2 linked regions of the Drosophila melanogaster genome follow. The gene in region 1 interacts genetically with each later gene. Each region holds a gene or a part of one and is shown in the gene's direction. Other genes may lie near its edges. The genes, in order: red and kar.

The links.
Region 2: of red (region 1) and kar, changing one enhances a phenotype caused by changing the other (phenotypic enhancement), as found in Drosophila melanogaster (one study listed by BioGRID).

The regions. Positions count from the first base shown.
Region 1 is NT_033777.3:14,286,882-14,290,808, forward strand, and holds the start of red (red malpighian tubules), read left to right. Parts: upstream 1-2,189; 5' UTR 2,190-2,568; intron 2,569-3,360; exon of another isoform or gene 3,361-3,579; intron 3,580-3,848; 5' UTR 3,849-3,891; coding exon 3,892-3,927.
Region 2 is NT_033777.3:12,687,757-12,691,683, reverse strand, and holds the start of kar (karmoisin), read left to right. Parts: upstream 1-2,316; 5' UTR 2,317-2,475; intron 2,476-3,562; 5' UTR 3,563-3,595; coding exon 3,596-3,927. Other genes in the region: Su(fu) (suppressor of fused), read left to right, coding at 246-1,652.

The DNA.
Region 1 (3,927 bases):
TGACCGCGCCGATAACTATAAAAAATACTGTGAGACTTACAAATAAATTCATGTGTGTGCAGACCTGGTCACACCGATATTTTAGTAGGGTGTCTCTGCTCTGCGGGGTGTGTGTCTTGGTTAAATACGGAATGTGTCTCTGCTAGTTCAAAGACAAAAGCGTATTGCTACAAAACAGTATTTTTCAAAATTTAAAACCACTTTCGGTGTAACTGCTAATTTGTTTAATTTGTGGTAATTAAAATGTTTAGAATGGAGTGTACAAAACACATTAACCTTGAATTTTTGAATATCCAATATTATCACACTTTCCGTTCAATATAATTTTTAAGTACCCTTCGGTATCTTATTGGGAAAGAAGGAAAGAAAAGAAACCGCTTCGGTAAACAATTTAAAAAACAGGAGATTTTCCTAGTCCACATTCTAAGTGGCAAATATCAATCACCTCATTGGCAATTCCATTATGCCAGTATATGAAGTTCGGATTAGTTGCGATTTCATAATGAAGCCATAATGTGCGGACACACATAAACAACTTGTCAGCTGCGTCCACTTCGCATTTGGTTCTTTGCCAAAGTTATTAACCAATTTTTTGGGAAGACACCCAAAGGCTTTATGCATTCGCAAGGCGCGATGTAAACAAATAGATTTTGGTCAACGAATCGAACGTGTCCGCTCAATTAGCACATATTTGATTCACAATGTAAATCCAACTGTTGCCGGGCGAGAAGCGTAGGGCGGTAATTCGGTGGCTTAAATCGACGTCATTTCGACGACGTTTCACCGAAGTGAACAAAAAATTCGCAGGAAATTGAATCACTGAGCGCCTGTAAATTTCTTGTTCAGTGACAAAAAATGGTAACCCACATTCAGAAGATGTTATCTCACAAAAAGGCATTGCAATTAACCTTATTAGTATAGAAAGTTCACCAAGAAGGACGTGTTAATAGTTGTGGCCTGAATTTAGTAATTACTTATGTAAATAAAAATAATAAATAACTAAATATTATCAAAATAATATAATAAAATAAAAAAAGTAATAATAATGAAACTATAATCATAACAACCATTATTGCTAGTAAATGAAATAATTCAAATGAATGCTAATAATAGGTACTAAATCAATTTCCCTGGCATTCCTTCTATTAAACACGAAAACATAAACAAATTGATCAACTCCTTGTAACTTGGACTATCAGCTATTGGCAACACGGGCAGATCGAGCTTTGTTTTTGGCAGCTGACGCATTCCGCACCTCATGGTTAGTCGGTCCGTTTAGGTGCGCAGTGATAAGGGGTATCGATAACAATATATGTATATCTAACATGGATTACCTTGTACTGTGACAGTCATTCGGCGCTTATCTGGGCCGCAAACAACACGAATTCGTTGGCCTAATCATAATGAAAGTCTTGTTTTGACAGCAGCAGCAGAAGCAGCGGGCGTATAGCCACTATCACCGGATTTCCAAAAATAGTTCTTCAACTTTTACCGCAATCTGCAATGCAAACGATGACGTCCGCGTTGGTTGGAAAATTTCCAGCTCATCGCTGAAAAAGGGATTCCTCCACAGATCGTGGGCTTATCATGCATGCTAATTAATCCTATGACGAACTCGGGAAAAAAAAAACAATAAAACCTAATAGAAAACGCGAGGAGCTTGATAATCATTGTACTTGTGCACCTGTCGCCGTCATCCAGTTATCATTTAATAATCAAGATGAGTGCCAGAAAAACAGAGAGAGCTGCTTAAATGATTATCACAAGTTTGCGGGTACATACTTACATACATACGATTATTTGCGTACAGTGTGTGCCATCTATATAATATTTTAGTTTAGATTATTAAATGCAAGCTATTGTCATGAAATCTAATAAACTTAATTTAATCAATTTAATCTAATAAAATCAACATCCAGTTAAAACATGGTTTTTGTAAGGGACACCACTGCGTATGAGTGATCTGAAGTGGGAAAGTAAATTAAGTAAAGTAAAACTCGGATGGTTCATCACACCATGCAACCACTGTGCCTGTAATATTCTCTTTCCCTGCTGGCTAGTCCAACGTGTTTGCTATCACCATTATCACTCGAATTAGGCACAATCATCTAACGAATTCGTATGGCCCCTATGGTGAGTACTTGGAAAAGTAATTCCAGGTTGGAGAAGTGAGCAGTGGAAGCAGTGGAGGCAGTAAACCAACATCCACGAATCGAATGAGTATTTGTGTGCACTTCCAGTGCGCGATAATGCCATTCTTCAATTCCAGCCGAAGAAACCGAAAGCCGAGAGCCCAGCTGAACGCCCAAAGAGAGTCTTCTGGAAGAGAGTCTACCTCGCCGGCGGCGGAGAATCGTCGCTCGTCGCTTGTTCGCCAGTCATTTCAGCAGTCACTTGTTTTTGAGTGCTGCTTGGAGTTGGTCGCTCGCCTGCTGCGCTCTTAGTTGTTTTGGCTAAGTTCACTTAGTTAGTGCCTTCGTTTAGCGGCGAAAAAGCTGGAAAAAAACGTATAAAATATATCGCGTTGTCGTCGCCGTCGTCGTCGTTGCCGCTTTTGTATCTGTGTTTGTGAGTGCCGAAAAGATGAATATATAGAAATACACACAAATAAACAAAAATATTATAAAAAGAAGAGTTGCTATTAAGTGAAATATATGCACAACAATTACTTAAGTTAGAGAACGGTTACTGTCGTTGCCATGGGACAAACGTAAAGCCTCGATTGTGTGTATTTACACACTCGGTGATCTGCGCTGCTCCTCTCACTCATTTGTATTGTTTCAAAACAAAAAAACAAGGCGATGGAAAACTAGAGAAACCATAAACAAAAGCTGCTCGTTGTTGTCCCACAGAAGCAGCAACAATCAAATTAATAACTTAAGTAACAGCATCAACACGAACGACGGCAGTTGGAATTATAACAAGAAAAATCCTACAAGTTAATGGATATTTTTTTCCTCTAGATAAAAAGTAACACAAAAAGTCAACTGGCAAAATATCACGAATGGCGGTACATACAAATTTCAATTTGTCGCAGCCGGAAAACAAATTCACATACAGTTCAAACTCCATAACTCGGAATTCCCAAAGACCTTCACTCTATGTCACTTTTTTGAGCTTTATTATGTTCATAAGAAGTCGGTACAAGTCATTTTAAGATATATTTTAATAAAATTTGAAACGAATATTATGAATTAGGGCCAATTAAAAGGGTAGTGTTTATTCTTAACGGAACTTGAAAAAAGACTTTTAATAGCATATTTGTTTGCACCAACTTTTTCTATAATTTTGCTGAAATTTAACTTCCTTTTCTACCGCATTATTGATTATTATATAATGTGACAATATATAAACATGTAGTAACAAGTTCGACTTACTGTGGCTCGACTGTACCCACTCGCTCACACACGTCACCGGCACACTCCCACTCACGCACACACCCACAAAGTGACGCCCACGAGGTCTGGAGATTTGCACAAGTGCAGAGGCACACACAGACAAACAGATAGAAGAAAAGACAGAAGAAACGAAAGAGGAGTGAGCACAAGAGATTTGTTGTTGCCAGCCTTGACTAGAAAAGTAAAGCCCCAAACTAAAGTAAAGTCTGTTAAATAATTACTCGGAAGTTGCACAACCTCGTTTGATGGCAGCCACCGAAAAAAAAAACCAAGAAACATGTACCAAGAAATCTCGACAAAAAAAAAAATACCCACAGCGTTTAATTGTTTCATAATTGCGGAGTGAATTCAGCTGATAACGGGACAGACAAAAACGAAAATGAACCAAAGTTAATTGCTATCAGTGAGTGCAGTGACCGTACTTAGTATATTTTATGTTCTTCGATGCAGGCGATCCAGTGTGAAAAGCAGAAAAACAGACAAGCCCACGGAAATGGATTACATTGTGAAGGCCTACAAGGATTGGAAA
Region 2 (3,927 bases), 1.6 Mb from region 1:
TAAAGCTATATGGATATATATTTTCACTGTTTTTCTCTACATTTTAAAAATAAGCAGAAAAAAGTAAGAAAGTAATAATTATTATAAAAAAGGTTTTAAAAATAAATAATGGTTTTAAAAGAAACTCATGTAAGTTTCCATTGTCAAATCCGCACTTTACATGGCAGTATTTTTATTCATGGTATATTCAAGCGGTGGTATTCCGCAACGTTCCAACTGAGGTCATACTGATCAAACTGGATGAAATGGCCGAGGCGAATTTGGACAAAAAACCTGAGGTGAAGCCTCCGCCGGGCCTTAAGGCCATCATAGACCACCTCGGGCAGGTGTACCCCAACCAGCCGAACCCGCTGCAGGTGACCACACTGCTCAAGTACTGGCTGGGCGGTCAGGATCCGTTGGACTACATTAGCATGTACAACTATCCCGGAGATGTGGATAGGAACGTTCCGCCGCACTGGCACTACATTAGTTTCGGACTCAGCGACCTACACGGGGACGAGCGAGTCCACTTGCGCGAGGAGGGCGTCACTCGGTCTGGCATGGGGTTCGAGTTGACCTTTCGCTTGGCCAAAACAGAAATAGAGCTAAAGCAGCAGATTGAGAACCCGGAAAAGCCCCAAAGACCGCCCACCTGGCCGGCGAACCTGTTGCAGGCCATCGGACGCTATTGTTTTCAAACAGGCAACGGGTTGTGCTTCGGAGACAACATCCCGTGGCGCAAGAGTCTGGATGGCAGTACCACTTCCAAGCTACAGAACCTGCTCGTCGCCCAGGACCCGCAGTTGGGCTGCATCGACACTCCCACGGGCACGGTGGACTTCTGCCAGATCGTCGGCGTCTTTGACGACGAACTTGAGCAGGCATCGCGTTGGAACGGGCGCGGTGTGCTCAACTTCCTTCGCCAAGATATGCAAACTGGCGGTGATTGGCTGGTGACTAACATGGATCGCCAGATGAGCGTCTTCGAACTGTTTCCCGAAACGCTGCTAAACCTACAGGACGATCTGGAGAAGCAGGGTTCCGATCTGGCCGGCGTTAATGCAGATTTTACGTTCCGTGAGCTGAAACCTACCAAGGAGGTGAAGGAGGAGGTGGATTTCCAGGCGCTGAGCGAGAAGTGCGCCAACGACGAAAACAATCGGCAGCTGACGGATACGCAAATGAAACGCGAGGAACCAAGCTTTCCACAATCCATGTCGATGAGCAGCAATTCGCTGCACAAGTCCTGTCCCCTGGACTTTCAAGCGCAGGCACCAAACTGCATTTCACTGGACGGTATTGAGATTACCCTCGCACCTGGTGTGGCCAAGTACCTCCTACTGGCCATCAAGGATCGCATCCGACATGGGCGCCACTTCACCTTCAAGGCTCAGCATCTGGCGCTCACTTTGGTGGCGGAATCCGTCACCGGCTCGGCGGTGACAGTGAACGAACCGTACGGCGTGCTGGGCTACTGGATTCAGGTCCTGATTCCCGATGAACTGGTGCCGCGCCTGATGGAAGACTTCCGCAGCGCGGGCCTAGACGAGAAATGCGAGCCCAAGGAGCGACTGGAGCTCGAGTGGCCCGACAAGAATCTGAAGCTGATCATCGACCAGCCGGAACCTGTGCTGCCCATGTCGCTCGACGCTGCTCCTCTGAAAATGTGATGGTGTCCATTGGTTAGCTAGTAGTTATTTAAATTAATCGAATTGAATCTTCCACTAACGAGTAAGTTTTACATTTATACATCTCATCTAACACAATGCACGTGGCCTTTGCTCCTCGCCGGAGTCCAGTCAAAATATACAAACACATACATATACCCGAAACCACTCGACGGGCCTTTGATCGCAATATGAAAAGAGGAAGCGCCGGCGCCAGGAGCGGCGAACAATTCGCCGGATGAGTCAAGTTGGGGTCAGGCTATTGAGCACTGGAACAGTTCGCTTTGGTGGCTGCGGCGGATATGGCCACTTGCAGGCGGTGGAAGTCATCGCCACCGACTAACCACCAATTGATGGTATTGCGCAGTGGACCGCCGAATGCTTCAGTTTCTAATTCTGGGAATTGATCAATTAGAAGAGCATTCAATTTGAACACAAAATCCCGCCCGGGATCATGTGATTGCGCGAGGAACTGGACCTGGAGCAGCTGCATCATCAGCCTGGCTGATGGGAAACCCTTGACGCATCGCTTGTCTGAGCGTTGCCTAGGTGAATTTTTGTTTACCGCAGAGAACAGTTGCTCTGCTTCTCCGATTAGGCGCCCCTCATCAAGTGAGCGAGCGATTTTTCGCAAAAACAGCTCGTGGAAAATAATTCAGTTTTCTTCATTCCGCCGCCGACGACGCAAGCGTTCGGTTGTGTGCTCGCTCGAGAGGTCTCCACCCGACCACTGATTCCCGCGATTCTCGAGTCGGCTTCATCTGATTCCCAGAGTCTTCAAGTGAATCGCACGTCTGCCTGCAGCGACTGGAGTTCCGGCTTACAAGTACGTAGAGGAGCGGACTTGAAGTTCGTCCAAACGCCGGCGATTACATAAGGGCCAACCCATCGACCGGTGGATGACCTTCGGTTTAGGCAGTGACCCCCCTTGGGATTGAGCTGGGTGTCGAGCGAGCACGTGCATGGCGTTGATAGCGCGAACTTCGGTGATAGCCGCCAAGAACGACAGTGGTTTTAGTTGTATTTCTTTATTTTTACTACAATTCCGTCGAGCGGTTCGCATTACATTGAGTTTTCGCTGTGGCGGCGATGCGGTTTTTTCGGCTGCCCCGCGGCGGGAAAAAGAAACGTTTGCAGAACGGAACGCTGCAATGAACCGTCAACCATAGACAGTAGACCCACCTCGAGCTACCGCGCCCCGAACCCCTCAAGTGCACTCGACAAGGGCATGCATAATCGAAAAATGCGACGAATTTCAGTTATCGCTTGTAATGCAATCTGTGTTCTGCGCAGCTTTAAAAGTGCATTACAATGTTGCTGACCAGATACTAAGCAGGGAAATTGGAGGCGGAATCGAAAGTTATGTGGCCATGATATCTTTGGATATTAATTTGAACCAGTTTTTTTTATGGTTCCTCGTTAACTGAGCTTTGCAATTTAATCCAATTTAAACTTTTCGTTGGCTAAATAAGTGACTAACATGCTAAAGAACAGAAGGGTAACTTATTTAAAGATACAATTTATGTTATTTGAAATATTCAAAAGTAAAAGGCATCCCTTATATCTTTATACCTTTATAGCAATTCCCTCAGCTTATCTCCAGTCGAAACTGAGATCTTCCCTAGTAACTCTCCCTTAAGATCTAGCCTTTGTTGCTCATTTAGTTCGCCTCTGGTTCGCCGACAATGTAAACTGCATTTTCATTTGTCGGGGGCGCAAATAGCGATAAAAGTGTCCAAATATTTGACCAGCCAATTCCGCGTCAGTCGGCGATTATTTTCCGGGATGGGGAAATGCGAGTGGCACTGGTATCATTTCGGCATATTTGGGTGCAGTGTGGCTTACTGATACGCGGAGTGCGTCCAACCGATTCAATGCACTTAAACCTCATACACTATATGATAAATTTGCAGGCAGCACTCCGAATCCAATCCTAGCCAGCAGCCATGGCTGAGAATGAACCGCTGAACGACCTGCAGAGCCAGGTGAATGGTCGTATCCTGCCCGCCGCCAATGGACATACAGCATCCGCGACCAACGGATTGGTGCATGCGAATGGCAAGGATGCAATGAAGCCGTCAGCTCCCGTTCAGAATGGGAATGGCAACGCGAACGGGACACACATCGAGGCGCCCTGCTGTCGGGACATACACGGCAAGGAGCCACCGGACGGAGGAGCACGCGCCTGGCTGGTCATGGTGAGCGCCTTCCTTTGCAACGGCATCATCTTTGGGTTCATCAACACCTACGGCGTTATCCATTCGCTGCTGACGGATAG